Linked DNA regions of Astyanax mexicanus. The protein of the gene in region 2 purifies or fractionates together with the protein of the main gene of each other region. This does not show direct contact. Links are inferred from orthologs where the notes say so. Each region holds a gene or a part of one and is shown on either strand. Other genes may lie near its edges. The genes, in order: suclg1 and suclg2.

Region 1 (16,915 bases), on a different chromosome or scaffold from region 2:
TGATGATGAGATATATGATAAGGTGTATAATCATATATATATATTTTTTTTTCTATTTTTTCCCCTCATTTTCTCCCCAATATACATGGTCAATGAACCCGCGATCTCCTGATCATAGTGGCAGTGTATGTGTATGAATTATTCTCTACCATGTGCAGTACATATTTCAGCAGGACAGGCCTGTGGACACTGGATGCATATCAGTGTATATAAAAGCACAGTGTTGTGGTCTTAACATCGATTAATCCTGATCAAACTTACGTTAATGACGCCGGGGCAGTTGGGCCCGATGAGACGGGTGATGCCCTGGCGGAGCAGCCTGTGTTTGACGCGCACCATGTCCTGCTGGGGGATGCCCTCCGTGATGCAGACCACCAGGGGGATCTCTGCGTCGATGGCCTCTATGATGGCGGCTGCCGCGAACGGCGGAGGGACGTAAATCACGCTGGCCTCTGCTCCCGTTCCTGCTTTAGCCTGCGAGCAAACAGAGGAATGTAAAGATAAGAGTCTGAGTAGAAGAATGATTCACAATTAAATCAGTCTGCATGGGGCTTTCACTTTGAAATAATGAATACAGGAAATGGAGGGGAGAATTAGATTTTTTTTATGGAATTAAAGTTCATGTAATTCAATAAAGAACAGAACACAACATACATTAACATATATAAGGATAAGAAATAGAGGGAACACTTACAAAAATAATAGACCCACGGATTTGCAAATATTTACAGATTTTGCAGCCTTTCTATTTGTCGATCCATGTATAGTTTGCATTTACATTTTGATTTAATTTTTAAAGACCATGAACAATGGGATACTCTTTTTAACATAACATTTATTAATATAAAATTTAGCTAACATTAAAATTAGATTATTAATATAATAGTGATCTATCTTATGTTTAACATCATTAAAACCAACTAAGACATGTTCCATGTACAATGAAAAGCTTAATATTAATAGATATTAAAGATCTTTTTTGAATTTGAACTCAGCGATTATTACTATTCTAGTCCTGTACAGCTCATATCCTTTACACAAAACAGCTGCAGCTTCACATAAAGCCTTTTATATTTAGGTTTTGAACCTGTCTGATCCAAATTTTTTGGCCACTTGAATCATACCACTCGGTTTGACCAGACAGATCTGGTTCTGAATGTTTTTCAGGGGGGTCTTGATATGAGAATACTTTTCAAACTACTATGAAAAACCCCTGAACAACATAGGTGATGACTGGACATAAAATCAAACAGAACACACCTTTATTCACAATAAAATATTGTTTATATTGTCTTTGAGATTTAATGTAGCCTTACCATGAAAAATTACAGCAAATTAGTAAGACACGTGCACTCAGGCCCAAATGGAGAAAGCAGGTCATTACCTCCTTCACTGAGTTGAAGACGGGCAGGCCCAGGTGGGTCTTTCCCCCTTTCCCAGGAGAAACTCCTCCAACTAACCTAGAGCCATAGTCCAGAGACTGCTGACTGTGGAAGGTGCCCTGAAAACAGAGAGAGAGAGAAAGAGAGAGAGAAATAAATAATCAAATAAATAAAGCTTTAATTTATTATATTATTGTTATTATTATTATGTTATTATTTTTTTTCCTGTACCCTTTATATAATATAAATATTATATATATATTTTTGATGTTGTTCATAAAGCTGTTTAAATGTTTTAATAGTGTTCAGCAGATTTCATGTTTATTATGTATTTATTTTTGGTTATACATCTGTTTTCCTTAGAGACAGAGAGACAGAGACAGAGACAGAGAGAGAGACAGAGAGAGAGACAGAGACACAGATAGACTTAAGTGTCTGTCAGCAGAAGGAGTGGGTCATTTCAGAAGTTCACACATGTAAAGTTCAGTGGGTGACCTTCTGGGATCGTCTTACACACAGAAAGACCCCCCCCCCCACCACTTCCCCGTTCACCAGCTATCAGATACACACAAATAAAGCCAGGCGAAAATGTCCTTAAGACTCCGGAGTAAACAACTGGGGATGGAATTCTCTCTGATTTGATTCCTTTATTAAACAAATCAATGCATCATGACATTTAATTTACTCTGATATAAAGTGTTCTATCACAATGCTTTATTATACTTTTATGGATCTGTTATTATCAATATCTGAACAGCAAATGGTTGCTCTGCATACTTTATTATTTTTAAACACTGTTTTTTACTCACTGTCCACTCTATCGATAGGGGTATGATATATCGTATCGTACACAATAATATACCACCAACATTTTTTTATATCATGAACAATAATATACCCTGAATATTGTAAAATATTTTTACTGTTTTTTTTAGCAACAGACAAATTCATACTGTTCTCATTTCCCATTATATATCTACTAGATATATAATTATTATTTTATTTTAATCCTGGATATATGGAGATATTTGGAGTGCATTACTATTATTAGTATCATGACGAGATTCTGGATCATTGACTATTACTGTTACAAATCTTATACATTTCTTGCATTTTTTTTAATATATAGGGGTGTGACATATATTTAACCCCTTAACGCCTGTTGTTGCAAATTGGCGACTAACCGTTTGATTCAATCAACCTGCCAAGATAGCGCCTGCATTCCCCCAATGCCTGTTAGTGCATATTCGCCACGGACCTAGGAACCTTTGACAATTTACAATTCAAATGAATCTAGAATTCAAATTAATGAAATGTTTCCTGTAATATTTGTGTATATTGTGTTGGTGACAGTAATTGGTGTTATTTATTATTGAATGCCTGCTGTTGGGTGCATAAATAAAACATTGATTTTTCACTGTTATATTACTCTGTTATTGTTATCTTAGTATGGACCATTATGTCTGCTGTAGCAAATTTGCAACATACCAAATTTACCCCAAATAGACCATATTGCCTGTTGTTGCAAATTTGCAACATACCAAAATTTCTATTTATTTTTGTGCAAAAGTGAAATTAATAATCTCAACAATATTTACTATCTACTTAAAGGTAAAACACACATGAAACATTTTTTCATATACAGCTACATTAATTCAGGCGTTAAGGGGTTAATATATATATTTAATAGGGGTGTGACATATCATAATGCATGCAATTATAAAAACTATTATTTTATTTTTTTTGTTGCATTGTTTGTATTGTATTCTTGAAATACACTATTTTTTTCTAATTCAGTGTTTTGTCATATTATTGCAATAATTACATCAAATGCCCCTGCATGTAGATAAAGTAAAGTCAGAGACAGAAGCTCTGAATCTTTTGCTGCAAGTCTGTGTTGGTCAACCTTCAGTTCTTCAGTTTCTGGTTGGTGGTCTACTGCCAGCAGTGACAATGAGGTGTTTAAAAACTCCAGCAGCACTGCTGTATCTGATCAAATTGTACTAGAACAACAAACATAAAATAGCTGCTCTGTGGTATTTGTCTCCCCTGTGGGGTCCTGACTATTGAAGAACAGGGTGAAATAAGGATAATAAAAGTATACAGAGAAACTGAGATACAGGACTACAGTCTGTAATTATTATGGAACTACAAACTGTCCAATACGCTCAGTAGAAAAACTCTTTCAGATCTTCTGTGCAGACTGGACTGGACTCTTCTGCCCTTCTGATTGGATTATGCTGACTGAGTTATATTGAGATCTAACAACTTGGAAACCTTTACCCTGCTATCTGATCCTTCACTGCATCTTAGTTAATGATTACTAATGATGTTACAACATCACAGATAAACCCGCAGCACCTCGTTCATCTGCAGCAATGGATATCTATTGCTTTTAAAGCTACAGCTTCAATTAAACATCTTTATAAAGCGAGGGGAAAAATGATCCAGCCGTTTTCCCGTCATTCTCTTCCAATTTTTCCCACCATCGCAACAACCTCCTGCCAACTTTCCTCTCATCGCTTTCCCTGCCTCCCTCATTTAGGTCGGCCGTTTTCCCGTTAACGACGGTGCTGCGAGTTTGAAGTATGGTTTGCTTATCAAGGCGCTGAGCAAAGTCAACGTGCCTCAATGACATCCCAGCCGTTCCTCATCTTCCTTCTAATTATTATGAGTGCTCATTAGAACTTCATCTAATAGCCCTTTATTATGTTAAGGAGTCGTCGAGACGAGCGAGAGAAGGGCAGAAGAGAAGGAGGGAGGACATTTATTTATTTTAAAAGGTCGAGGGGTGTAGGGAAGGTTTGGACACGGCGGCCAAAAATAGCACATGCACTAGGGGTGTCACGATTTCGATATTTCATCGAAATCGATCGAAATTATGTCATGGTTTCGAGCATCGAAGTCAAAAAGAGGATCGACGATCCCTCCCTCTAAGCTACGCAAATAGTGCAGCACACTGTAGCTCAAAGAGCAGCTCTTTCTCCAGAGAGTGTGGACATTCTCATCTTCTTAAAGAAAAACTTAAAATATAAATATAAATAACAGTTGTTTTTGTCTAGCCTCAAATATGTTAATAGTTTTGGTTTATGGTCTTTCTCCCCCAAAAAAGTGTCCACAACAGACAACCGAATACATTTGTACTCAATTAATATCTGTACTTTCCATGTTTAAACATCTGTTTTTTTTTACGTCTTTTATATCTTGTGTTCAGCTGATTTTATTGTTTTAAAGGTTGAGCACATGGCAGACATAATTGTTGATTAATCAGCTAATCGAAAAAAAATATTCATCAGATTAGTCGACTAATAAAATAATCATTAGTTGTAGCCCCAATATTTAATCATTTCTTACTGTGCTAGATCTAATCAGAATTTACTCGCAAAAATGAGACACATTTGTGCTCCTGGAGTTACTAGCACCCGTAACCGTATTTAGGATTCATACACTTTTTAACCAATACATTTCCATAATTTTTTTTTAATGACTTTTCCGCATCTCCAAAATCCAATAAAACTATAATCGATAGTAAAATTAATCTAACACACTTTTTTTTATAATAAAACCTGTCAGATTCTGAGAGCTACATTGTGTAAAGGCTAAATTACTGTATTAACTCTGAGCTGATGTATTTGTATTTGATGTATTTGTAGCTCAAAATATTTTTTCTTCATCGATAAACTGAAACACAGATTTGTAGATCAAATTTCCATGACTTTTCCAAAACTTTTGGGTATTTTTATTTTTCCAAAACTTATCCAGGCCTGGAAATTGCCATTTTTAAATTTCATTCGTTTTTTTTTTTTTTTTTTTCGGTTTTTCATGACCGTATGAACCCTGCATATTGGCCAGGGAACTGAATCAAATACTTGATATGGAAAAATAAATTGGCATATTGATCCTAAAGTAAATCTGGGAGCTTCTTGCTCCTGTGCGTCCTTTGTACTCGCCAAAGTCAGACGCCAATTAGCTTGATGTAAACTTAGCATGACACCGCTAAATGCTGGCTAAATGCTTTCAGCTCAAGTTTTCCTAGGTAAAACCTGTGCTTGTGAAATCTGGAATCTAGGGGTGTGCCATATCGTATCGTACGCGATAACATTTTCAATATCGTGTACGATATTATACTCTGAAATATGGTGCCATATCACCCACCCCTAATTATTATCACATCAGGATACTACTTTTTTTGCTGTCTTTAGCAAAAAAACAAACAAAAAAAAAACAACAGAGACAGATGATATCTGTCCAGTATCATTTATTTTACTTTGATCCTGGATATATAGAGATATGTAGAGCGCATTGTTAGTATCATGACTGCTACAAATTAACGTTACTGATAAAATTCTTGTATTTTATGAAATCTCAGTTAAGGGTGCCATATCATATTGTAAGAAAATTTAATGTTCATTTTGGTGCAGTAGTGTATTCTTAAAATAATTTTTTTATTCATTTTTTTTTTTGTCATATCGCCAAGTATATCGTTATCGCAAAAATACCATGAAATATCATGATATTATTTTAGGGTCGTATCGCCCACCCCTACGGGAATCTACACATTCTCAGTAAGACTGCAAGAACTGCATTATTTTGCACGTGATTGCTCGCCCATACGATATTAAAAATGCATTAAAAAAGGTAATCTAACTAGTTATTTTTTTTAAGCAACTGTGGATGATGAACCACCAACCTGCTTTCCTGTGAAGCCCTGGCAGATGACCTTAGTGTCCTTGGTGATGTAGAGATGCTTCCTGTTTCCGGTATAACAGTGTCGGACCCCAGCCTGCTGCACTGGAATCAAACAGAACACAGGAGGAGAGGAATTAGAACCAGAGATAAAAATAAAAACACTCCTATCTTACCTGAGAGACCCACAGCAGGATAAAGGCCGACCTGTATCTCAGTGATAACGCTTCAATCAGCTGAGTGAGAGTTATTAAAGCAGGGGTCAGCAGCAGCAGCAGCGGCGGCTCTCAGTACAGCCAGGGTCTTAATAATGCAGTTTAATACATCAACAATGGAAAGTTCTTATCACGCTGAGGTGTGAAAAATTATTCATGAGGAAAAACAAGCAGGAGAAAAAAGGAGAACTGGTGGTGGAGCTGATGAGTGGGTTTTAAAACAAGGCCTGACGAGAGAATACGCAGCGATAAGTGAGCTATACATGGAGTAACAGCACCAACATGTGTTCATGGTGTGGCACCTCACTTCATACATTAATAATGATAAAACCTCAGGAAATAATGAAGGATAGGGATATCCTACACTGTTCCTTTTACTTAAATATTATATATTTATTTTATTTAACAAATAAAATCAATATATAGATATCCTATTTTTTTATGTTATTAATTTTTTTTTCATGTTTTATAACATGAATCCATTGATAGATAAAGAAAAGACAGAGATAAAGCAATAATAAAACTACATAAATAAACTCAGGGAACACACAGGAAGAATATGAAATAATTTAATTTTTTTTTTTTTTTTTTTTTTACTCCAAATGTATTTTTTCTCACAATCAATTTTTTTAAGTTTGTTTCTGCTGCATATACATATATATATATATATTTTAATAGAATAGAATACAAAATATATCTGCCACTTCTTCTTAATTTTGTGCAATATTATGAAATTGCAATTACAAAACTATACAGGGGTCTTTTAACTTAAAATGAAAAATACAGGAAGTGGGGACAAGAGGAGAGAAAACGAAAAATTAAAACTAATTTTAATAGACAGATTTTACATTTAGATGCATCAAAATAAAAATTAATTTTTAATAGAAAATTAAATGAAAAAAAAAATCTTAAAAACCCTTCAATAAAAAAATTATGAAAAATTAATTTTAACTTAAAATTAATATTAAACAAGCGAGCCCATAATAAGATTAGGTCACCTTCTCCACACACTAATAATACGATTTTGGTTTATTTTATGTGGATAATAACAACTAGACTAAAGGTCTAGTTATGGTTAACCTGGTCAAATAAGGGTCCAGTAACCTACATTCATGCAAACAACAGCAGGACCAGCAGTTCCCCTTTATAAGCAATGGGAAGTTAGCCAATATAGATATTTCAGGTTAGTGGACATTCCAGCAGAGGAGCCAAAATTGCACAATTCAGGACTAGCTATGTTAATAACGCTGTCCTTCTGCACTGCTTACTGCTCACCAGACCAAAAAATATAGGAATAGAGCCCTAAAAACCATGTGGATTTGATTCCAAGGGATGAACCTTTGAGCCAGACCCAGCTCCAGCAGCTCTTATAGCTTGACTGACCCTAAACTTTGACCCCGGCTGTCTAAACTAAGATTTATAAATAGAGAAGAAATGTACTCAAGCAGAGCCTTGCGGCAATGTAGCAATGTAGTTCATTTAAACTAGATGCTAATGTGAAAAGACAGTTTATGTCATTTTATATCTTGACATTTAGGAAACATCAGATTTTTGACCTACAGAAAAAAACACATTAGTAGCTGCAGACTATTAAATACTATTCTGTACTTATTACAGTGTTTTTTATTCAAAACCTGCAGCACTTTATGCAGTTAAAGACGAGTATTTACACTCTCTGTAATGAAATGCTCAGAAAAGTATCACAATAACGTTTATCACAGTATGATAAAAGTAGTCAATTGCCCTGCAGCAACACTGGACCATGTTTAACATATAATTTTAATCCCAGTTTCCTCAGCTCTTTAAAAAAAAAAAAAAGAGTGAAAAAGCATTATCATGCTCCTGTATCATCTTTAAAGCAGTGTCATAATATTGTCATACAATTCCATTAATATAATGCATCATACTTATACCTAGAATAATATAATGTCCAAAAATATATATTTATGTGACCCATATCAAAGCTATACCTTAAGATCAGTGGTTTTTTTTTTCATTATTTTAAATGTTCTGCAATGTGGATTAATTCTAAATTCATCCAAGCTGTGAAGATCACACATATGGAACTATTAAGAAAAGAAAAAAAACAAACAAACCTGAAGTAGTTGGCAAACTAAACTTTAGTATAAAAAAAAATAATTACGAAAAGAAAACCTGCATTGTACCAGCACAGAAATGATGGGTTGTTATGGAAGTTAGACTTTTCTGTGCTTTTCTTTTTCTCTCTTTCTTTCTTTTCTACGTAATTTACTTTATTATTATTATTAAACAGCAGAAGCTCCAGTAGAAGGCAGGTATGGGAGTGCTAAATTGTATACACCTAAATTATAATATGGACAAATAAAACCCGGATTGATTTAAAAGTATAACCCAGATTATAAATATTAATGCGGATTAAACAGTGAGTGTGAACATTGCTGGTGTAAAGCGGAGTAACAGTTGCAGTTCTGAGTTGAAGTGCAGCAGGTTTGTTTAGGGTTATTTCTAGGGTTAAGTTCAGCAGGTTTGTTTAGGGTTAATGATTTTGAAGAACAAACTGGATTATTAGTATTAAGGCGGATTAAACAGAGAGTGTGAACACTGCTGGTGTAAAGCGGAGTAACAGTTGCAGTTCTGAGCTGAAGTGCAGCAGGTTTGTTTAGGGTTATTTCTAGGGTTAAGTTCAGTAGGTTAGTTTAGGGTTAATGATTTTGAAGAACAAACTGGATTACTAGTATTAAGGCGGATTAAACAGAGAGTGTGAACATTGCTTGTGTAAAGCGGAGTAACAGTTGCAGTTCTAAGCTGAAGTGCAGCAGGTTAGTTTAGGGTTATATCTCTCAGAGAGCGGCCCGGCCTACTTCAACCTCTGCAGCTGTACAGCCGCTCACCGCCCGCTCGACAGCTCCCCCAGCCCCGCAGCCCGCTCTACCCCGCACATACCCCCGCTATAAACCCCGCACAGCGCCGTGTTACTGTAAAAATACTCACAGAGCAGCCGGCCGAACAGTCTACCGCTCGCCATCTTCGGTCATTCACCAATGACACGGGGAGAGACGTCACACGCCGCGGAGCCTCATATCCGCCTGACCCGAGCCGAATACACCTAGAAACCCCGAGATTCACACCAAAAAACCCCGCAGAAAATCACACACAGCACTGTAAACACTTATACTGGGCTTTATAAAAATATATAAACTGTAAATAATGAAAAATAAATGAAATATTCCCATACAGGCGGTCTGCTCTGGTCCTGCAGCGCCGGGAATGCTGGGTAATGTAGTTTTACATGATACTGATGCAAATTCAAAGCCCCCACTGCAGTAAACCGCAGTCTGAAATAATAATAATAATAATATTAATAATAATAATAATAATAATAATAATAATAATAATAATAATAATAATAATAATAATAATAATAATAATAATAATAATAATTAATATATCTCAATTTTCCTTGATTTTTTATTTGTTTATACTGGTACTGTCATTCCCTCTTTATTCCCTGCATCATACCTATATACTCTTATATTGCCTTGTGTCTCTTGTCTCACGTATGTAAGTTATATATATATATATATCTGTGACATTTTGGTATTGTACATTTATTGTCTCTTATTTATAATATATATTTATAATGTTGTACTTGTTGTAACTTTGGCAGGGAAAGCAACACATTTTAATCCTCCATTTGTCCTGTACATATGCAGTATTGACAATAAAACTACTTGACTTGACTTAACTTGACTAAATATTGAGGAAAACACAACACTTAATATTAATTTATGTTTTTGACATTCTGAAAAAGTTATTTTTTTCTTTGTACAATATTTTTATTGTACAGAGCTAGAGCTACTGACTAGAGCTAGAGCTGCACTACGGAATTAAGTCACTTTAGTAGGTAAAATTAGGTGTAGAGGCAAGAAATTAAAGTAATCAACGCTTGACTGACTAGTCACAGCTGTTAACTGAAAGCCATTCTAGGTGACTACCTTATAAAGCAGACTGAGAGAATCCAGCCAAGAAGTGCCTACTTTAAAGCTTTCTTTAAAGAATCTAAAATATAAAACTTATATTGTACATATCTTTATTTTGGATAATAATAAACAAATTAGAACTAAATTAATAAATAAATATTTTTGGCATAAATAAATTCTTTTTTTTTTTTTTACCGTTAACCCCATTTATTTACGCCAAAAATTATTTATTTATTTATGTATTTTAATTTGAAAAAAAAAGAATGTATATATATATATATACATATTTTTTTTTTTCGTTTTTTACCATTAACCCCATATCATTTATTTATGCCAAAAATGATTTATTCACTAATTTATTTTAATTTGTTCATTATTTTTATCACACCAAAAACAATATCAATATGAGTTTGGAAAATTACACGCACTAAAAAGTATTAAAAACACAAATTAAATAAAATAAGGAGAATAAATATACAAAACAAGTGTATCATTATTCTTGTATTAATTTAATTTAATTATATAAATGTATCATTTAAAAAAAAGACCTTAGTATTGAAAAACTGTGCAGGTGTGGGCGGGGAGTACCGCTAACCTTAGCCAATAGGAAAACACCAGCTCTGCGGACGCTGATTGGCTGGCAGTGTTGTTGCTCCGCCTCCTCCGCTTGCGCTTATTCACCATCACTCTGTACGGCAGCGGCTCCGCAGGCCGCTTACTGACGCTACGCAGAAAAACTCCGCAGCTCGACGTCAGGTCCTCCAGGCTCAGGGAAACAGCTCGCTGGGTGCGAATGAAAAAGCGCCCAGAAAGAGTTCAAGATGGTGCTGGAGACTATTTCCAAAATCATTAAAGTGCAGCTGCCTGCCTACCTGAAGAAGCTGCCGCTGCCCGAGACAATCGGCGGATTCACCAGACTCACAGGTAACGTTACCGCCTGGCCTGGAGAGAGACAGAGAGATGAGGAGGGGGGGGGGGCATTCTATTATATACAGTAAATAAAGTTTTAGAGCTGCAGGGTTAAAATTGAGGCTTTAAAAAGTGTAAAAAAAGAGTTTAACAAGTGTTTTACTCCTTTTTCTACTATTCAGGAGTGTAACGTTTAATTTTACACTCATTTTAGACTCATTTTTGGGAAGATATGTTGCACACAGTGAAATATTTATCATCTAGCTTAGTAGTAAAGTTATGCAGCATGAAAAGTGCACCAGATCTAAACATATCCAAAGTTCAGTGATTTTATCTTCAAATAACAGTAAAAATCAACCTTTAAGTTTACTTTTCTAAGAGTTAAGAGCCAGCACACGTGCTACAAACCACACATCCACTGATTCATAGCTGATTAATACCAGATATTCACTGATGCAGTGTCTGTTAGCTTAGTTTTACACACATCTTCAGGTTGGAGGAGGTGTTTTTTTTTTTTTTTTTCATTATTTTAACTGAAATGAGCCAGTGGTTACTGTTAGGTGTTGGTCAGGCCAGAACATAATTAAAAATATCACAATTTCACAGTAACGTTATAAATTTTGGTACATTTCAGGGGTGGTCACTTCTGAAAATTTGATCTTCAATTTGATCATTTTTAGTCATATATTGTTTTAAATACAGGTAATAGATTATCAACAAGTTTGATTCGTCAAGCTCAGGTACAAAACAGTTTTTTTAAATTAGATTATGCAATATATTTGGTAACTTTGGTAACAGTAACAGGGTTGCGAGTAACAGGGTTGCAAATCTAGGCTAAGTTGTGGTTTAACCCTGGAACAGATGCTACCTGAGCTTATTTTTCCACCAAATTTTACAGTTTGTCTTATAACAAGTACATTTTTTCTCAAAAAATAGTCATTTCAATATTTTGGATATGTACATTTGAAGTTGAAGTAGTGGGACAGGAAATGTACCACAATATATTTTTTTTTTTTGCATACAATATGATAGGACAAACCCCTAGTCTACAGGATGGTGCTTTCTTCATCAAAACAGTCTGACTGTCTGTGTTTACGTCTCTAAAATGACTGTGTTAAACTGCTACCACACCCCCGTCAGGCAGGTCCTGTCGCGCGACTGTCGCAGTGCTGAGGTCGGCACGCCTACACCTATATATGCAGTATGTAATAGAGTGCGGGGAGAGGTAATACTGCAGAATGCAGGCTGCACCCCTCCCTCAGGTGATCATGCAGTTGCCTGTGTTTAGTCAGGGAGGCTGAGGAGAGTGTATAGGCGTAATTGTAGCCGGGAATGTGAAGCCATATTTATTCTGCAGCAGACCCGCCCGCCGCTGCTTTTTTTAAAAGTCACTTCAGGCATATTTTACCTCAGTTTCAACCCATGACCCAGTCAAAACCATCACCATCACCACTGAATGAAATCTTTAGTACAGACTTAATTTAACAATTAAAAATGATTCCCACTCCATTGAGCTTATAGGATTTGTCTGGGATCGCACTCTGTGATCATAACTCTTTGAAGTGAGCGTGTAATGTAATGTAATCAGCTTAGGATTGTTTAATTAAGCATATAGCCTACTTTTCTCTTGCTCAGATTAACTCTGATTATTACTGTGAGAATCAACCTGTACTCAGTCTGTTCTTTTGGCGAAGTGCAATGCTTATACGCCATTTATTAATTGCATGGTCTGCGGTGTGACTGTCGCACATGTGTACACTGCAATATTAAAGCTAAAACTACAACTCTGGAAAAAAAATAAGAGAACACTTAAAAATTACAAGAGGAAGATGGATGGTCACAAGCCATCAAACCAAACTGAACTGCTTTAATTTTTGCACCAGGAGTAAAGCAGCATAAAGTTATCCAAAAGCAGTGTGTAAGACTGGTGGAGGAGGAGAACATGATGCCAAGATGCATGAAAAAAAAAACTGTGATTACAGTGTTAGGGTTATTCCACCAAATATTGATATCTGAACTCTTAAAACTTTATGAATATGAACTTGTTTTTTTCTTTGCATTATTTGAGGTCTGAAAGCTCTCACATTACTATCCTAGTCCTGTACAGCTATCAGATGGAAAACAGCTGACCCATTGGTGATATCCAGCATTTTAAGTAATCGTGAATGCTTTATTTTGTTTTAATGCTTTATTTTATTGCGAGAGTAGAGTTTAAAAATGAATTTAATTAATTTATGAGAAACGTTGCTTCCAAAAAGTGGTTAAAGACACTAGATATTAACTAGATATTCTCCTTGTTGTTTGTGTTCAGTTTCAGAGTGGCTGCGTCTCCTGCCTTTGCTGGGAATTCTGGCCCTGCTGGGCTATCTGACCATCCGGCCCTTCCTCCCGAAGAAGAAGAAGCAGAGAGACTGCCTCATCAATCTGAAGATCCAAAAAGAGAACCCCAAAGTGGTTAACGAGATCGACATAGAAGACTTACGAAGCCCCAACGTCTGCTACTGCAGGTGTTGGCGCTCCAAAACGGTAAGAAGTGGAGACAGGGAAAACGGTATGGAGAGTGAACTAAAGGATTTGTGTCTGTGCTTCCTTAGCAACCAGTCATGGACAGAATTTGGTTTAAAGGCAATTTAAACAAAAAAAAAAAGGGAAGGTACAGAACTTGCACAAAAGCCTTTTTAGGATTTTTGAATGTGTTTTCAAGAAGCTTGAAAGCCAGACAGATCCAAAGGAAACTTGAATCCCAGTAGAAGTTGCATAACTTTTACCAAGAGGTTTCTAGGATTTTTACCTTAAATACATCATTAATCATGATTATCGCAGTATTCTATATTGAAAGCAGTCAGTTTTGCATTTGCTTATGGATATTTTTGTAGAATTGTTTGTTTTTGCAGTTTAGATGGTAGATATAATACAAGATATAATTGCATTATGTTGACCACACTATTCTTGTTTTTTATTAATTATTTATCGAATCTTAATAAATCACTGTTATTTATACAAACATGTTTTACAGATGGTTTTGTTTCTACTCAATTACCTTGAAATATTGTAAAATTATTTCAGGGCAATTTCACACACCCCTAACATACAGACAGATTGATTATCCTAGGTTTAATGATATGAACTGTAAATATTAATTCAGAAAAATCATTTGCACTTTTGAAAAAAAGTCCATCCTTTCCTACAGTCAGTCATTTTAAATGTGCATTAAGTTTTCTTTTTGTTGCACACTAACCACCCACAATAAACCACATTCAGACATGTTTCTACAAGTTTTACAAGTTGAACCAGAGCCGAACCACCTCAGAGCAAAAGCGAAACAATGACACAGGATTAGCCAATGTCACGACCTAAAAATGACTGCTTAACCACGCTTTAATAACAGTTTACTCCTTGAAAAAGTCAGAATTTGCATCCGTCTAGGAGAGGAAGTTGGATGTGACTGGAAGTCATCTATTGACACTCTTGATGTGTTTTGCATATCTGCACATGGCAACAAGGGGTTTTGGCTTCCTCTTTTCAGTATAGCATAAAAAAACGGCTGTGTCAAAGCCTGTGGTGTGAGGTTGTGTGTGAGGTTGTGTTACTGTGTGGGGGGGGGGGGGGGGGGTTGTAGTTTGGCCAAAAAAAAATGAAACTTGTCATTAATGCATCGCTGCATTCATTTCCTGTTGCAGTTTCCTGTTTGTGATAAATCACATATAAAGCACAACGAGTTGACCGGGGACAACGTGGGGCCGCTCATACTGAAGAAGAAGATTCTATAATCTGCTTTTTTTACGGCCACGAGGTGCGGACAGCAGAGCAGGCACTCTCACTTCCCTTCAAGATAAGCCACCAGTATCTGTTTCTCATCATTAAAATACAGTACAGATCTTCACGCTTCTTCAGTCATCCTCTAAAGGCTGCGTTCACACTGCAGGTAAAATCCAAATTCAGATCAGATTGGATTTGGGCCATCATCAGATTTACCTGCCGTGTGAATCTACTAATCTAATTGTCTGGATCCTACAATGATTGATTTTTGCTTTTTAAAGACATTGCCACATTAGTGCATTAGTGTGTCTCATCTGTCCGTATGCTGTGAAGAGTGGGACTGATCTCACAGACCACCCTGTTGTTTTTTTGTACTTTAAAGTGGTTTATTCAGTCTGCCTTAAATTAAGTGCAATATAACTGGACTAGGGATGCATCGAATATTTGGCAACCGAAATTATGTGGCAAAACGGCAAAAAAAGAAAAAATGCACTTTCGGTTTTCAGCTGAAACAAACGAGTAATTCATACTGAGAGATTTAAATTTGAGAGAGTAATTACTCAATCAAATTGCATCCAGTGTGGACTGAGGTGCTTTTTTTTTTTTTTTTTTTTTTTTTATAAGTGCAGATTAAAAAAACAAAAGTCACAAAACAAAAAAAATAATCGATATTGGGCTTTTAGATAAATGTTTGATAAACATTTATTATTTCAGAGCATCCCTAAACTGGACCACAAACATTATACACAAACTACACACATTTCTATGCTGTTTTATTGGCTGTATCTGTTTTTTTTTAAAGGAATACTCATTCAGCATTTTAAATTAAAAAAAAAAACAATCCATATCTACTGTATGTGTGCAGTGCTATTACTTTTGGCTAGACGTGACTTTGCCTTAAAATGAAAGTTTTCTGATGGTGTGGGCGTGTCGAATGGTGGTGTACGCAATCGAGTGGGCGTGTCAAAACTTTTCTGCCGAAAAGGATAAAATATACTTATAATAATCACAAATTCACCAATTTTTACCCGATTTTCACACGGTTTGATTTGTTAAAAACAGGAGAGATGAAGTAATGATTCAGGACGAAAGGTGGTCGTCTAGACCAATAGACGACCACCTTTCGACACGCCCACACCTTTCGACACGCCCACACCTTTCGACACGCCCCCAAGCAGTCTCACATTCACTAGGCAGGAACGCTAAATTCAGATCTATTCCAAGCTCACAAAAATGCATTAAAATAACTCCATGTTGTCCATGTTGGTGAACAGTATGATACAGACGCAGTATGTAGAAATGTTTTTCTGAGTTAAAATGCTGAATTATTCCTTTATTGAAGCTACAGTTTCAGTGTATTCAGTCAGCTAGGTCATGGCTAACACAATCAATTCCACAGAAGCCATTTAAAGCCACACTCTTACATTTTCCGGTTTTACGTCATCGAGATAATGTCTCCTTTGTCCTTTGTTTGTTTTTTGTTTTGTTTGTTTTTTGTTTTTCTTGGTCATGAGATATGAGTTCAATTATTTATGGAGTGTCTGATGCTGGGTCTCTATCCTCATTCTTATATACAGTACTATCTTCATTAAAGTTTTTTGTTTGATTATGGATTATGGATAAAATCTGTACAGATGACTCTAATCAGGTGTCCCAGTGCTGTATGATGCTGTTATCTCTGCGCTGGTTTTGGAATCCAAACACAGTAAACCGTTAATAATTCATTAATAAGCCAACACGGTCCAAGCGAATGTTTTTAGATCTGATCAGTTCATCATTTTACTACACTTTTCTACCACTTTAGTACAAACTACAATCTACTTTACACTCACTTCTCCAGAAACACCTGACCTGTACCTCCTATATGTAGGTGTACATGTTTATTTTTATTTTTATTTTTATTTTTTATATATATATATATATATATGTACGGGTGTCCTCAAAATGTCCCAATACGTGGACCAATAGAAATGCCCCAAAATGGAATAACTTGAAAAATAATAAA
Region 2 (17,204 bases):
GGGATATTTCACCAAATATTGATTTCTGAACTAAATATGAACTTGTTTTCTTTGCAATTATATGAGGTTATATGACCATTTCTCATTTTCTACAAATAAATGCTCTAAATGACACATTTTTGGGGGGGAATTTGGGAGAAATGTCATTTTACTAAAAATAGTACAAATCTGAAAAACATTTCATTTTAAAGTGGTCTCAATTCTTTCCACAGCAGTTCACTAGATCAACTATAAGTATAACAACTGTATAAATTAAGTGGACATATCAAATTAATGACGAATTTTGATGGATTTAAGGTCCAGATTATTTAAAGACTTTCTAATCTCTAATCTATAGCATCGCTCACAGAACTCTTTGAACTTTGTTTTGTTTTTTTTTTGTTTTTTGAGTGTAAGATCAATCATCTGCTGTAACCCTGCAAACATCTCCCTCAGTCGCATCCCTTCATCGTTGTTTACGATCCCAGCACCAACAGAACTTCTTTTTTTTGAGGGCATTTATTTATTTTTCATTGGCGATGATGTTGCCGTGGCTGTAGCGGTGCTGCACAGGCGCGGCCGTGTTGGTGGAAAAAAAAAAAAAAAAAAAAAAAAAAACAGCCCCAGGTTTATCTCGTAGTCCAGACAGGAATTTCGGCGCTAGATTGTGTTTATCAGGCATCGCCCAGCTCCAATCCATCCCGGGCCGTAGAGCTGCTCTTTGCATTGTTATTGACAAGCCATGGCAAATTGAATTGCTGCGGAGGATGAACTGTCATAGCAGATGGGACTGAATCGCCACGATACAAGCCTGTCAATCACGGCTCCTCGGGTCCGCGACGGCAGGCGCTGGGACGCTTCAGATCATCACACTTATATCTGGCCGTGCAGCTTTGAAGAGGAGAAAAGTGGGGGGAAAAAAAGTACAGAAGCCGCAAGACTGCAAAGTTAAAAGTTCGGCTCACCTGACTACCACGGACGGCGGCCGTGCAGTAAAACGCTCTTTCTGGAATGCTCTTGTCGTCTTTTGACATTAGAATGCAGAGAAACCAGTCAACTGGTTGAGCCCATCATCAGGCAAACACCACTCGAAGCTAGAAGCGCTTTTGCTGATAGATAAATCCATTACAGGTAGGGATGGACCCGAATATTCCAGTATTCAGATATTCGCTCGTTGAGTAGGTGTTCGGTTTAAAATTTTGGTATTCAGATATTTGTTTTTTTCCTTTTCTTAGCTCCACCTTGCTCTAACATCACACTTCCGTTCAGGTTAATGGCGGTATAAGAGAGACATAATTTACAATGACTTTCCTCTACTCTAATATAATTAACAATGTTTAAGAATATAAAATACTTTCTGAACAAAGTTTTTTTTGATGTTTGTTTTTAAGCAAATAGCCTAAGTTCAAAAACACAAAAACAGCAATTTACTGGGCCGCCTTTCACAATGGAGAAGCCGTGAAGCAGCGTACGCAGCAGAGAAGCCGTGGTGTGGGGCACCATTCCGGGGTGAAAACACAAAAAAAATCTAGGCTAAAAACACAAAAAATACGAGGTGAAAACAAAAAAAAATTGGGGTGAAAACACAAAAAAATTGGTGTGAAATAAATGACACTGTACAGATATAATCTGTCTCTAGTAGATAATTCATGATAAATAAGAACAGTGTGAATTTTAAAAAACAGACGCCCATCAGACCATTTTTTGAGCCCGACCCGGTCGAGGAGAGGGGTGGGAAATCTTCTCTTTTTTTCAGGGGCGGGGGTCCGTGGAAAATTTTGCGGTGGATTAAGGGAATGCGAGTTGCATTTTTTTCATACTTTAATCAGTTTTTTTTTTTTTTACGAATATTCAAACATTCGCTACCAATCAGTGCTGAATAAAAACGCTATTCGTATTTTTAAAAAAAAGCTCAAAGAATGCTATTCGAGGCAGCCCTAATTTTTATTACCTACTTTAGCAAACTCCAAGCAAGCAAAGAAACTCCAAGCAAGCAAGCAAACTCCAAGCAAGCAAGCAAACTCCAAGCAAGCAAGCAAACTCCAAGCAAGCAAGCAAACTCCAAGCAAGCAAGCAAACTCCAAGCAAGCAAGCAAACTCCAAGCAAGCAAGCAAACTCCAAGCAAGCAAGCAAACTCCAAGCAAGCAAGCAAACTCCAAGCAAGCAAGCAAACTCCAAGCAAGCAAGCAAACTCCAAGCAAGCAAGCAAACTCCAAGCAAGCAAGCAAACTCCAAGCAAGCAAGCAAACTCCAAGCTTCTAAAAAGTCCCAAGCTTAAGAACCAAGCCCATGTTAAAATCTACTCCACTCTAAAAAAAAAAAAAAAAAAATTCACGCAGCGTTTGGTTTTAATGTAAATTCTTGTGTATTTGTTTTTCTTTTTTTTAAGAAAGGAATCAAATGCAGTAAAATGTAATGTAATAATGGTTTTGTATGTCATTTTGGCACGTATTCTGCAATTCTGCCAACTGCATGCCAACATCACTCACCTATCCCCATCACTATTAAGCATGAGGGTGGTAGCATTGTTCATAGTATCATAGTTTGGGGCTACCTTGCATCCAAAGACCAGGACACATTACATACAGAGTGATGTTGCTTTCTCTATTCTGAAAATGGTTCCTTACAAAATCAAAAGTGATTCATCTATGGCAGGGGTTCTTAATCTGCATCGAAACCATGGATTATTTTGTGCAAACTTACTTGGATAAAATCGTGGATTTATCACCATGCTGTCAGTACCCACAATCACTCCACGAAGCTTCACAAAGTTTACTACAGTACCCCATCACACCATGTCTTTATCAAGATATAAAGTGAAAAAGGGGGGGTGACATGATACGCTGACATGGTCACGTCACAAAATGAACCAGTCAGGCGACCGCACACATGGTTCTGGGAGCAGATAGACAGATAGATACAAGACCTAAGTCCAATGAAAGAGAACTCCAGACTCTCGAATTCACTAGGACCAAAATCACTACACTAGATTGCTACCAAGCAAGTTGACAAACATACGTAGAAAGCTCTCTTCAGGGCACGGAAAATAAGGTTAGACTGAGTTTCATTGTTGCCGGATGTCCAAATTCATAACCTTTTAGCATCAGTCTTATAGTCTTAATCCTAGATAACCGCTCCTACGCTTCCGATAATTTAAGTTTTGAATAATTGCTGCCACTTGCAATGAAGTCCGCAGCTCAAGTCTTTCGTGGGCGGCTTAAAATAACCTGCATTACCCTAAAGACGCTCTCACGCTGCCCCGATCTTACGCAACTCTTAAACAAACCCATTTGGATAAAGACGGGAGCTGTAATGTATGCTGGCACGGTGTAGTTTCTCATTATCAGAGAGCCTTTCTCACACTGACGCCAGGCCAGTCCCCTGCTCCAGCACACTCATCTCATTATACCGAGCAGATGAAAATATATGCCAGCTAAGCACTCGCGCTGCCTCCAAAATGCACTTTTTTTTGTTTGTGTGTGTGTGTGTGTGTGTGTGTGTGTGTGTGTGTGTGTGTAGGCCGAACAGGAGTGGAGTGTTAAAATGGTATAGTCATCACACCAACCTGCTGAACGGGCTTCAGAGCAGCTTTGTGGAATTTCTCTACAAGAGCACAAGAATGGAAACGTGAAAAGAATTATAGAATCTAAGAGTTTGAGCGAGAGATTAGGTGCCAAACGGATGGGAACTTCTATTTTTTAAGTTGTTCACCTGAAAAAACTAAAGAAAATCTAGCAGAACCTTCTTCAAAACCTGCTCCTCATTCAGGTTTAGGAAGAGTTCCATGCCTCAAACAAAAGAAACTCCTTTAGCGCTTTTCCATCAAAAGATTTAATTTTATCAAAGAGATGAAGATGGATGATCAAAAGCCATCAAACCAAGCTGAACTGCTTGATTTTTTGTTTTGCACCAGGAGTGAGTAGCATAAAGTTATCCAAAAGCAGTGTGTAAGACTGGTGGAGGGAGGAGAACATGATGCCAAGATGCATAAAAAACTGTGATTAAAACCAGGGTTATTCCACCAAATATTGATTTCTGAACTCTTAAAACTTTATGAATACGAAACTTTTTTTTCTTTGCATTATTTGAGGTTTGAAAGCTCTGCATCTTTTTTGTTATTTTCTGCAAATAAATGCTTTAAATGACAATATTTTTATTTGGAATGAAGTGGTCTCTTAATTTTTTCCAGAGCTGTATTATTTATTTATTTATTTATTTTGTTTCTTGAAATTTAACAATAAAACTGACAACTGCAATTAATCTGTGAACCCTTGTGGAAAGAAGTTTATAATTATATTTTAGAGATATGTTAACCACTAATTAGGATTAATGGACTTTAAACCGAAATCACAATATTCTGTGGAAAAATCGCAATTAGATATGTTGCCCAAATCGTGCAGCCCTAACTGGGTGTGTGCCCAAGTTTCTGACATTTACCATCAGTGTATAGTCATTCCCCATCCCCAAGCAACCTTAGGTAAATTTATATAGAGCAAATATTATGCTTAACTACCTCCTGTAAAATCAAGCATAGTTTTCTGAGCTGCTAACTCCGTGTTGGCTGTGTGCGCTATACTGTTCACTGTAAATCAGGTGATAAGGGCTGTGAGGTGAGTGTGAGCTAAGATTATACTGTATCAGTATACAGTTAGGTGGCTGTTTAACAGACTTAGCGGTTTCTATTAACAGTTTAATCAGCTCTGTTCTCAGAATGATGAGGTGTGATTAAAGACGCTGTGAGCTTTAGAGCGCTCTCTGATCCATCAACATGAAGGCTGGATTTCACTGATAATGTAAAGATTTGCTCACCTGTGTGAAGCTGCACAGAGTATTGAACATTCTGTATGTTTTTTTTTAGGATTGCAATGCGGCAAATGTTCAATAAGTTTGGACCCAACTCAAATGATAGACTGCATTTTGTCAATATCGTTTAAAATCCAGACTTTTAAACATGGGGGTGGTAGTGTGAAAGGAGAATGTCTGGCCATCTGTTTGTGACCTTAAACTCAGGCGTACTTGGGTTCTGAAGCAGGACAATGACCCAAAGCACACGAGCAAGTCCACCTCAGAATGGCCTAGTCAAAATCAAATCACGATGCTGTACATGATCTTAAACAGACAGTTCATGCTTGAAAAACCTCCAATGTGGGACTCCGAGTGGTCCGGTGAGATCGCCAATTTGAATCCTGTTCATGCAGCTTGCCATCGGCAACCAGAGACCTGAGAGAGCACAACTGCTGTTGCTTTCTCTGGGTGGGTACAGTAGATAGCGCTCTGTCCCCTCATCACTCCAAGGGTGATGTTGATCAGCACAGGGCTGCGTCTGTGAGCTGATGTATTTGAACTATTCCCCACTGCATCAGCAGCAGCAGTTCAAAAAGAGGCAGTGGCTGACTTCACATGTATCAGAGGAGGCATGTGCTAGTCTTTATTCTCCTGGTGTGTTGGGGCATCACTAATGATAGAGGGAGTCTTAATGAGTGGGTTGGGTTGGGTCATGCCTTGTAAATTAGGAAGAAAATGGGAAAAAAATTGGCTCCAATATGACTGAATAAAAACAATTCTCCAAAGAAAAGTAGACCAAAATTCCTCCACAGAGATGTAAAAGACTCCAGTTACCAGTTATCGACAATGCTTGATTGCAATTGTTGCTGCCAAAGGAGGCACAACCAAGTTATTTTACAAGAATAAGGAGGCAAATACTTTTTCCTCTATGGCTAGGTTGGTTTAAATAGATTTTCTTTCCCATAATAAATGAAACTATAATTTAAAAAAGGGCTTTTTATATTTACTCAGGTTTTCTCTTTGTCTGAAATTAAAGTTTGTTTAGCACTGTGTATAGAAGAAGTGAACCTAAACTAAATAAATAAATAAATAAAAAACTTCTCACTCCAGTGCAGCAGGAGTCTCAGAGTCCTGCACTAAATAAGCTGTTGTTTTGTGTGTCAACAGCTCTGGACTATTTAGGGATCATGCTAAGAACAGAAATAGTAGAAATGAAGGCCGATTCAAATTCAACAACCTACATTCCAGCTTATAGAGGTTAGAGAAAGTGTAGGAGTTAGCACTTGGCTTCAGCAAGCTTCCTTTAGCCTAGATAAAACACTTGTTGGAGGGAGGTACTGAACGGCTGATTATGGGAACATATTAAACAAATGTAAAAGTAAAGAGAGATTTTTTGGGCGCTGCCACTATGATTGAGAGATCGCTGGTTCGAATCCCAGTCATGCAGCTTGCCATCGGCTGCCGGAGCCCTAAGAGAGCACAACTGGCCTTGTTCTCTCTGGGTGGGTAGAGTAGATGGCGCTCTTTCCCCTCATCACTACTAGGGTAATGTTGATCAGCACAAGGCTGCATCTGTGAGCTGATGTATCAGCTGATGTATCATATGGTGTCTTGGAAGGTTTTTTTAATCGAAATTGGATCTGAAAATCTAATAGCTTTTCATATTCGATTAATGAGAATGGTTGGATCAGAATGCTATATGTGGCACAGATCTGGTGTTTCCAGAGCAGTGTGAACCCAAAATAAGGATTTCAAATCAGATTTTAGCTATTTTCATGTGTTGCAACGGATCAGATATATATATCTCAAAAGTTACCATGATGTGACCTTAACAAAATTGGGCTTTTCGTAGCAGTGTGAACACAAAGAAACTGGTTCTGCCATATATTTGATTCCAATGAGGCTTGCACTGGACGAATTACTTGCTTTGACATCATATCACCAAGCACTACTTTTAATGTTAAACAGGTGTAACGTATTGCACCAATTGATAGAATACTAGAAAAGTGTGCATATTTCACAAATTTTAAGTCCATTGTGGTGCAACACCTGAAATTCAAGACTATTGCTCAAATTAGGTTATTACAAGGGAAGTGTGCTTGGGGGTGATCTGGGAGGGGGTGGGGAGGGTTGTGTTACTTGTGGACTTCTGGTGTTCTTTGTGCCACAGGCAACAGGTTGACCGAGTGCACTTTGAATACAAGAGATAAAAACAGAACTGCTATTGGCTAACTGCTGCTGCTGACAAAGAAAAAAAGAGGGGTTAAAGTCTATCTACATGGGGGGGGGGGGGGGGGGGGCTCACTAGACCCAATGCCAAGCACGGGCATTGAGGAGAATACTGAAAGAAACAGCTAAATAAACCATATTATAATCCATTAAGAAGAAGACCTGGCAACTCTAAGGGTCTAAAGGTCAAAGTCAAACAACAGAAAGACCCTCAAACCGTTGTCTTCCTTACTTAAGTTAGAATAAAAGTGTAAATTAGATCCTAAAATTGCAGAGAACCCCTTCAGAAACCTTACAATCACTTCTACAGTGAAAGACCCCTAAGCTGCAGTGAGGAGCTAACTAAAGCAAACAGCAAAATATAAACCAAATTATTATCCATGAAGAAGAGCTGAACTTTTGTTTAAGAGTATGAGAAGGATGCAAACTCAATAATCTAAACAAAGAAGCTTTGCACAAGTTTCCAAGTCACACAGCTAGCAACCTTTTCTCCCTCGCTTCTAAACAACAGAAAAAACAATATTATTTCCCATAAAGAGGAGTTGAGAAGATGTCGAAGACTTAAAGAATGTGGTTTTAGATCTTTGCACAAGTTTCCCAATCACCCAGCTGAAAACTCTAATGGTCAAAGTTAAACAGCAGAAGGACTCTCAAACCTTTGTCTCCCTCACTTAACTTAGAAAAAAAGTGTAAATTAGGTCCTAAAACTGCAGAGAACCACATCAGAACCCTTACAAGCACTTCCACAGTGCAGGTTAGAGAAAGTGTAGGAGTTAGCAGTTAGGAGTTTTCCAGTCACACAGCTGGAAACTCTGAGGGTCTAAAGGTCAAAGTCCAGCAACAGAAAGACACTCAAACTTTTGTCTCCCTCACTTAACTTAGAATGAAAGTGTAAATTACATTATAAAACAGCAGAGAAACCCCTCAGAACCCTTACAAGCACTTCCACAGTGGACCTTCTAAGCTGCAGTGAGGAGCTAACTAAAACAAACATAGAATAAAACATATGCATAAAAGAAGAGTTGCGAAGATGTAAAAGAGAAGGTGGTTTTAGAGCTTTGCACAAGTTTTCCAGTCACACCTGGCAACTCTAAGGGTCTAAAGGTCAAAGTCAAACAGCAGAAAGACCCACAAACCTTTAGCTCACTTCTAAATGTACCACAAAGCACATTTCTAGTCCTCCACAGTGGACCTTTAAGATGCAACAAGGAAATTAAGTAAACAGCAGAAAAAACCTTATTATTATCCATAAAGAAGAGTTGATAAGATGTAAAAGACTAAGAGAAGGTGGTTTTAGAGCTTTGCACAAGTTTCCTAATCACATAGCTGTCTAAAAGTCAAAGACAAACAACAGAAAGACCCTAAAACCTTTGTCTTCCTCATTTAAGTTACAAACGTCTAAATTAGGCTCTAAAACTACAGAGAAACCCCTCAGAACCCTCACAAGCACTTCCACAGTGGACCTTCTAAGCTGCAGTGAGGAGCTAACTAAAATAAACACAGAATAAACCATATTATTATCCATAAAAAGACTAAGAGAAGGCGTTTTAGAGCTTTGCACAAGTTTCCCAGTCACACCTGGCAACTCTGAGGGTCTAAAGGTCAAAGTCAAACAGCAGAAAGACCCCCCAAACCTTTGTTTCACTACTAAATGGACCCCAAAACACCTTTCTAGTTCTCCACAGTGGACCTTCAGGATGCAACGAGGAAATTAAGTAAACAGCAGAACAAAAACAATATTATTATCCACAAAGAAGAGTTGAGAAGGTGGTTTTAGGGCTTTGCACAAGTTTTCCAATCACATAGCTGGAAACTCTGAGGGTCTAAAGGTCAAAGTCAAACAGCAGAGTGACCCCCAGACCCCCAGCTTCCTCACCAAACACCCCTAAATCTCAGGGTTACCTTAGAACCCCCCAAACCCCCACATGCCCCCTGTCCTTCTCCACAGTGGAGCTGCAGAGCAGAGGGGAGATAAACAGTAAACAGCAGACTGACCGCTCTCTCAGCCCCGGATACACAGCGCGCTGCGGGGAGGGGGCTCGCGGGGTGATGTGTACTGAGGGTCTGCGCTGTGTGCGCGAGCCGGTGTGTGGTCGTGTGTGTGTTTTGGTACCTGTCTCGTGCGCAGTAACCGGCCCGCGCGCTCAGCTCCGCTCTGCACCGCTCTCCACATCATGCACGCCGCCATGTTCAGCCGGAAGTGAGCGCGGTGTCCACGTGCGCGCGGAGAGCCACGCTCGCGGACGGGGCTCGTGACGTCACCGCAGAAACTTCACTCTCTGCACTCGGAGAACTTATTTTTTATTTTTTTATATATTATTTTTATAATTGTTTCAGCTATTTAGCCCATTAAATTACTATGTATCTATATATTTATCTACATATTTTATTTATTTATTCATTTATTTATTTTTAGTCCTTTCAGGATTATTTAAGCTACTTGTACTATTAAAATAAAAAGTTCAGCAGTATTCATATATTATTTATATACAAATATTATGTATCTATATATTTAATTTATTCATATTTAATTAATTAATTTATTTTTACAGAATTATTTCAGCTATTAATCCCATTGAAGTAATAAGGTCAGTCCTGTTTATCTATTATTTATTTATTTATTTATTTATATATATATGTTTATACTCTTTCGTTTTAGGATTATTTCATTTATTTATCCTATTAAACTAATAAGATCAGTACTATTTATTTATTTATTTATTTATTCATTTGTTTAATTTTAGAATTTTTCAGCTATTTATCCCATAAAAATAGCTATTTTCAGCTATTTTATTTTTAATGCAAATATGCTTACGTTGCAATATGCATTTCAAATATGACTTATCTCACAGCAAATGCAATTCCTTTATAGCTGACCCATGTTTGTTTCATTTTTTGAAGTGTATGTGACTATCTATATGAAAACATATTTTTCAATGTTCCAGTAACATATCAAAATATATTCAAACATGCATATGTGTAAAACATATTTAACGATATATGATAAAAAAACACCTGTATGATTTTGCAAAATATATTATACATTAAAATATATGCCCAATCCTTTAAGATACATGCAAACATGTATATATCACATATCAGATTTCTGTAAGGGGTTGCATAAAGATATTGTCATTTTGTAATGTTGTTTACTTTTGAGACTTTTGTAACCCTAAATCTGAATTAATTGTTAAATAATGCCAGTCAGTATAAAGAAGCACTTTACTGTGGCGTGTTCCAGATTCTACCATAAATTATCATCTGGTCTCTTCTGGAAGTCTCAGATATGTCCTTTCTGTCAGGTTTTATGAGTTTATGAGACAGATTGGTGCCATGTGGCTCAAAAATAAACCTGATCTAAAATTCAGTTCCTCCACTATTGAGATGTGATGATTCTCTGCACACGCAGAAAATGAGGCCTCTGGTGAGTCAGGAATGAGGGTGAGGAGGTGACCGTGCTGCATATGTATCAGGTGGAGGAGCAAATAGGACATTCATTAAAGGAAGAAAACACGGACGCTGGCTTAGGAACGACTGGGGACCCCAATTTATACCTCCCTGAACCGGCCGGCCCAAACATCCAGTGATTATTACCTTCCTCTGCCTGCTATTCAGGAAAGGACAGGCTCTCGAGAAGCACTTCTACTGGATAGAGATAGTAACAAGCACCCAATCTGTGCCAACAGGCCCTGAATATGACCCCAGAGCAGCGGAGGAAACGAATACAGTGTGCAGAAACGTTGTTAGCTCTTCTTTATATCATTCATTTCTCTTGATAGAGTTACAGGATGCTGTCAGCCAGCGCTGCCTGCCTGTCAGACATGATACGGAGCATTTCCTCATGAAGAATGTTCCTATTTCCCTCGAGAAGAACATGATCAAAACATGATTTCCATACAGACAAAAGCAGCACGTTCGTGATATATTGCCTGGAGTTTCCATTATTGTGTCCTCCCTGCTGTAAGCATATGCATGAAGCATAAAGCATAAGGCAGCGCGTCTGTGTGAGTTTTATATAACACAGCATTGATGACGCCCATGAATAACACTGACCTCCTGTCTCAGTGTTGACCCTCGGTGTGGTGGTGGGAGTGTGTTGAGCTTTGAGCTCCACTGAGCAAGTAAATAACCTATTTACTCCTCCCCCTCTCTCGCACGCGCGCTCTCTTTCTGTCTCTCTCAGTATCTCTCTGTCTCTTGCGCACTCTCTTTCTGTTTTTCTCTCTCTCTCTCTCTCTCTCTCTCTCTCTCTCTCTATTTCCAGATAGCTGGACAGACAGACATGTGGATTGATAAGTGAATATAAAGACCGACTGATGGTCACATAGCTCAAAAGATGGTAGGACTAATGGACATGGTTGAACAGACAGACATGTTTGGGCAGACAGACAGACAGACAGATGTTTGGACAGACAGAAGATTGGACAGATAAATAGACATAAAGACAACTGGACAGACAAACAGATCAATAACTATAGATAACTATATATATGGAGGGACCATGAATTGGACAGAATTGTTGAAAAGACTGTTGGTCACAAAGTTTTTGGATTAACAGACATGTTTGGACAGACAGACCTGGTTGGACAGATGACTATACAGACATTGGACAGATGATTGGACAGCCAGACAATTAAACAGACAAACAGACAGATAGATGAAGATATAGACAGAGGGACAGGGAATTGGACAGACAGATGGTTGGATAAAATGTTGGTCACATACTTCGAAAGATGGTTGTACAAACAGACATGGTTGGAAAGACAAACATGGTTGGACCGATGCTTGGACAGAGAGAGGGTTGGATAGTTAAATACATATGCAGACAATTGGACAGACACACAGAGAGATAGATGAGGATATAGCCAGATGGACTGGGAATTGGACAAACAAATGGTTGAATAGACTGTTGGTCACATAGCTTGAAAGTTTGTTGGACTAACAGACGTGTTTGGACAGACAGACATGGTTGGACAATTGAACAGACAAACAGACAGAGAAATTAAAATATAGATGGAGGGACTGAGAATATGACAGACAGATGGTTGGTAAGACTGTTGGACACATAGCTTTAAAGATGGTTGGATTAATGGACATGGTTACACAGACAGACATGTTTGGACGGACAGACGGACAGACAGACAAATAGGTAAATAGTAAATAGGTTATTTACTTGCTCAGTGGAGCTCAAAGCTCAACACACTCCCACCACCACACCGAGGGTCAACACTGAGACAGGAGGTCAGTGTTATTCATGGGCGTCATCAATGCTGTGTTATATAAAACTCACACAGACGCGCTGGCTTATGCTTTATGCTTCATGCATATGCTTACAGCGGGGAGGACACAATAATGGAAACTCCAGGCAATATATCACAAACTGAGAAGCCGCTACTGAGGTCATAAAACACAATGATTATAACAAACAAATGAACAAAGAGAGAGACGGAGAGAAATGAATAATATCAGCAGAATTACAGGCAGTGTGAATATCTCTCTCCCTCTCCTTCTCTCTCTCTTTATTTCTCTGTTTCTCTCTCTCTCTCTCTCTATCTATCTCTAGCTGTCTTGCTCCCACTTTGCATTTAAAATTTTTACAACAGCAAATGTGCAGATATGCCCAGTTTTCTTTCATTCCTTCATGTATATTCTGTTTTTTTTTTTTTTGGTCTGGGCCTAAACTCTCCTGCCTTCACGCTCTCGCACCCGGCACTTTTAATAGGCCGGAGATCCATATTTCATTAAACTGAATATTTGATTCATATGGAATGCATTCATCTTGTGAGTTGTCATTCATGGACTCATGGATTCATGGTTCTATTCTGTTCTGTTCTGTTGACTAGTAGGGATGGGAATTGATAAGATTTTTCCGATTCCGATTCCCTTATCGATTCTGTGAAACGATTCGATTCCTTATCGATTCTCTTATCGATTCCAATTTGGGGAAAAAAGGAGAGTAAACAGTTTCATAAGCACCAACTTTGTTTACTTAAATATCATACGACCTTACAAACTCAACAACAAGGTCAACATGTCCACAACAATGTTCAACTGGCAATATGGAAATGTAGCAAATACTCTCTAATAATGTTGTGTGCGCAGATGTTTGTGCATATTTGATGTATTCCCTCCCGGCGATGTTATCAAAAATTTACAATGGTTGCAAAACGCCCTGTTGCCATCCTTATGTAGCGTGAAATGAAGGCAAACTTTCGAGCGTTTTAACCTAGTGGACGCCATTGAAAAGACGTGCTTACTGAATCATGCGTAACTTGCGTGATCGTGCTGTCTGGAATCGATAAGAGAATCATTAAGCAAGGTGCCAAACGATTCCGTGGAATCAAAACACATGGAATCGATTCTCAACAGGAATCGATTCTCGATTCCCAAGCCTATTGACTAGTTTTATCTTTCAGCTGGGGCGTTGCAGTATGATAATGAGGCCAGGAGTGAGGTAGGCACTCGCAGATACAGTACTTTACATAAAGGCAGAGGGCAAGGCAAAAGAGTAGTTAAAAAATACAAAAAGGAGTCGGTGACATGAAAAAAACGAGATCTAGCAAGATCTACCAAAGAAACAAAGGAAACGGGGGGGGGGGGGGGGTATTCATACAAGGCAGTCCAGGTGTAAGCAATCAGAAGCTCGGCGAGTGGGAACGCCATAGTGTCACGTGATCAGCAGAGTCAGAGAGGTCCGGTGAGTGAGCATGCTGGGAATTAGAGTCTTTATTGTGAAGTTCAGCTTTTTTAAATGTTTTTTTTTTATTTCCTTTCACATTTATCATTTTTTATTCCATTTGTTTCCACAAACTTGAATAATCGTTTTTAATCTACTCAGTCTATAGTTTAATAAAACACTTTACATCAAACCTGCATAAAAAATAATCTCTCTGGGGGTCTCATGGGACCCTCACTCCTATCCTTGACCCCTCAGCAAGTTTGCAAAGACTTGTTATTCATTGGTCAATATGATGTAACAGTGACCAACAGAGAGAGAAAGATCTTTTTGCCGTAGAAGTAACGAGGGGAAAGAGCGTCATCTACCCACCCAGATAGACCAAAGCCAATTGTGCTCTCTCAGGGCTCTGGCAGCTGATGGCAAGCTGCATGACCGTGATTCAAAACAGCGATCCAACCAGGACCACTCGGCACAACTCAGATTGTCCTCACTGTTCCAATACTTTTGGAGGGGGGTGTAGTCACATAAATAGAGAGAAAAGGAGAGAAAATGAGAGAGAAAAAGAAAGAAAGAGAGAGAAAGAAAGACAGGACACTTCTTACTGTCTTTTCCACCTAACCCCACTCTCTTCTGCTCTCTTTATCTCTCTCTCTTTTATTGATTGACTAAGAGGACTCTATTCCTGTCTTCTGTAACCCACATAACCCGCGAACACTCTCCTGAAGCTTGTCGTAAATGGGCCTATTTAATTTCTGCGTATTCCGCCGCTGCAATTCGCTGCTTTCAGAAGAATGAGGGAGGCGTGGCGCGCTCCATCTGCGCAGGCTTTTCTCCAGGCTATTGCTCTGCACTGATTTTTCATTTTCATGGCACATTCCATGCTACTGTAGAACTGTGTGGGGCTACATGAATACCTCTGGAGGTGCGGCAGGCCTGATATATTCACTTCAGGAAAAACGACGACTTTGCAGTTTAGATTTACAAAACATTGTAAGCAGTTTTACACAAAGGATCAGCCTGCAAAGTGATTAGAAGACAAGTTGCTAAGTGGTTGCTAAGGGGTTGCTATGGTGTATTTCCTGGTTGCAGAGGTGTTCAGTGGTTTGTTAATGTGTTACTATCTGTGCAATAGATTTTGCGTAACAGCTATGTATTTGGATATGCTTATGCATGAGTGGTGGTTGGTGTATTGGTTGTGTAGTGGATAACACGACTACCTCCCAGTGAGCTATCACATCATGTGGAAGACTGGGGTTCAATTCCTGGTCTGGGTTACTGGATGCTGCACTACACCAATAAGAATCCATGGGCAAGACTCCTACTGTAACACTACATCGGTCCATATCTGTAAAAGAAATAGAAATAAGTCACTTTGGATAAAAATCTGAGGTAAATGCCATGAAAACGTAATGTAAAATGTATGCTATTTATATTTGACATGCCCACAATCAATTAATACATAATGTTTCTTTAACTAAATGAATGTACCTATATATCAATGCTGGTCTGTCTGGCCAAATATCTTTAAAAACCTATAGATTAGATCATGAAATACAACCTGAATTTATATTTAAAACTATACCATCAGTATCATTAGAGTAAAAGTGGGTTATGTTGGAAGTCAGAACTAAAGCCATAATAGTCCTGGAGCTTTTGGTCCTTGTTTCAGCCAGTGATTCACATTATTTATTTATCTTTTTTGCTTCACCTTTTCAGAATATTCATTATCTAGCCCAAGGCATCCGGAAAGCAAAGTCCTGCAGGCGATGTATCCTGTAGAAACAAGCGTTCTTTCGTCACCCTCTAGTTTATTGGTTCTGAGAAGACACTCTCTTCTTCCTTTCTTCTATTTTTTTATCCTTTTTTAATTAAAGGAAATCGCTAATGAGAGACCTTAATGTACTTTTCCGCATTGACGCATTGACACCACATTTCCTATATATACTGTACATGGCTTTTGGACTTGGTGAATGATAACAGTCTTGATGGTCCATTTTTTTTTCTTTGGTCTAGAGCACATGGCATCTTTTCTTCCAAAAAAGATCTAAAATACTAATGATTTGTCTAACAATAATACACATTTCTATGGTGTGATCATCCATTCCAGATGCGTCAAAGCTAAGAGTGTGTGATTCTGAAGTAGAGCATGATCTCCACCCTTCAGAAACTGGGCTACATGGTGGTTTTCCAACATAATAAAGACTCCAAGCACACCACCAAGATAATAAATGCCAAGTATGGACCCTAATCTACTGCCAAATTGAGCCCCTGTGGTGCATCCTCATAAGTAAGGTGGAGGAGAGCAATGTGTCCAACATCCACCAGGTCCTTGCTGCGACTTGGTTCCTATACATTAGCCTATAGATGCCTCATACTGATCGACATCACCCTCAAACTAATGAGGGGAAAGAGCGCCATTCATCTACAGAGAGAGAGAGCAAGGCCAATTGTGCTCTCGTAGGACTGCTCTCCGGCAGCTGATGGCAAGCTGCATGACTGGGATTCAAACCAGCGATCACTTTAGACCGCTGGACCACAAATTACACCAAATTTGAAGCTAAAACAACCCTTAACAATCATTCAAACTAATTTCTTCACATCCTAATCACACAGCAACCATCTTTCATTGTACTGTAGACCATTACTGGAGTCTCAAATCCACTGAGCATGCTCCAGCTGATCCATAAGAAGCCAAACACTATAGAAGAAGGTCTTCTGAAGTTCTATACACAGCCCACGGTCTTCTGTAGGACCCTCGGAGTGATCTAGAGTAAACTCCACAACACAAGTGCAACAGCGGCAGCTCCCTAACTGATATAAAACAGATCACCTGCTGTTCCACCCCCCCTTTACTACGCCGTCTGTCGTAGAGAGAGAGAGAAAGACAAAGCTTAGATGTGTATATGAAAGATCCATGGAGCCGGTCTTCATTTCAAACCACTGATAGCATGCAGAGCCATCTTCGTCTGCAGCGAGGAGTGGGTCACCCTTTCAGAATTCTACTTATACTAGCCCTCGCCAATGAATCTCTTTCTCTCTATCTCTCTCTCTGTGTTTCTCAATCTCTCTCTTTCTCTCTCTCTCTCTCTCTCTCTTTGTCTGTTTTTTTTTTCAATGACCCCTCCAAAGAGGTTGGTGTGCGTTTCATCCTGCACCCACTGCTGGGCACAATTCAGGTCGGAATAATCTGAGGTAAAAAGAAATGGGAGAAGGATACGTAGTGGAGAAATATAAAATATTCTATTGTTGCTATTGACCATAACTTAGCAAATCAATAAATAGGCTGATTAACATGGCGGTAGATAATTAGCCCAATGTGTTCAGCCTTGGAAGTTCAACCTCGATAACCTGGGAATCTGGAATATGGGATCCTTGGAACATGGGATTATGGGAATGTAGGACCCTAGAATACTAGGGAATATAGGAAATATAGGAAATAAGAATATAGGACCCTTCAAGAATAAGACTGGAAACATAAGACTTTGGGAACAAAAGACTCTGGAAATGTGAGATGTTTGGAATCAAGACCCT

What was found.
Region 1: the proteins of suclg2 (region 2) and suclg1 fractionate together in Homo sapiens (co-fractionation; 6 studies listed by BioGRID and IntAct, counting the BioPlex papers as one, with this or other methods). This does not show direct contact. The link is inferred for Astyanax mexicanus from reciprocal best matches to the Homo sapiens genes SUCLG2 and SUCLG1.

What each region holds. Positions count from the first base shown.
Region 1 is NC_064432.1:1,830,334-1,847,248, forward strand, and holds the start of suclg1 (succinate--CoA ligase [ADP/GDP-forming] subunit alpha, mitochondrial), read right to left. Parts: upstream 9,368-16,915; 5' UTR 9,288-9,367; coding exon 9,254-9,287; intron 6,174-9,253; coding exon 6,073-6,173; intron 1,502-6,072; coding exon 1,385-1,501; intron 475-1,384; coding exon 262-474; intron 1-261. Other genes in the region: cisd2 (CDGSH iron-sulfur domain-containing protein 2), read left to right, coding at 11,064-11,166, 13,463-13,677, 14,832-14,921. UniProt on the Homo sapiens protein: Succinyl-CoA synthetase functions in the citric acid cycle (TCA), coupling the hydrolysis of succinyl-CoA to the synthesis of either ATP or GTP and thus represents the only step of substrate-level phosphorylation in the TCA.
Region 2 is NC_064431.1:27,373,920-27,391,123, forward strand, and holds the start of suclg2 (succinyl-CoA ligase [GDP-forming] subunit beta, mitochondrial), read right to left. Parts: upstream 9,215-17,204; 5' UTR 9,183-9,214; coding exon 9,108-9,182; intron 1-9,107. UniProt on the Homo sapiens protein: GTP-specific succinyl-CoA synthetase functions in the citric acid cycle (TCA), coupling the hydrolysis of succinyl-CoA to the synthesis of GTP and thus represents the only step of substrate-level phosphorylation in the TCA.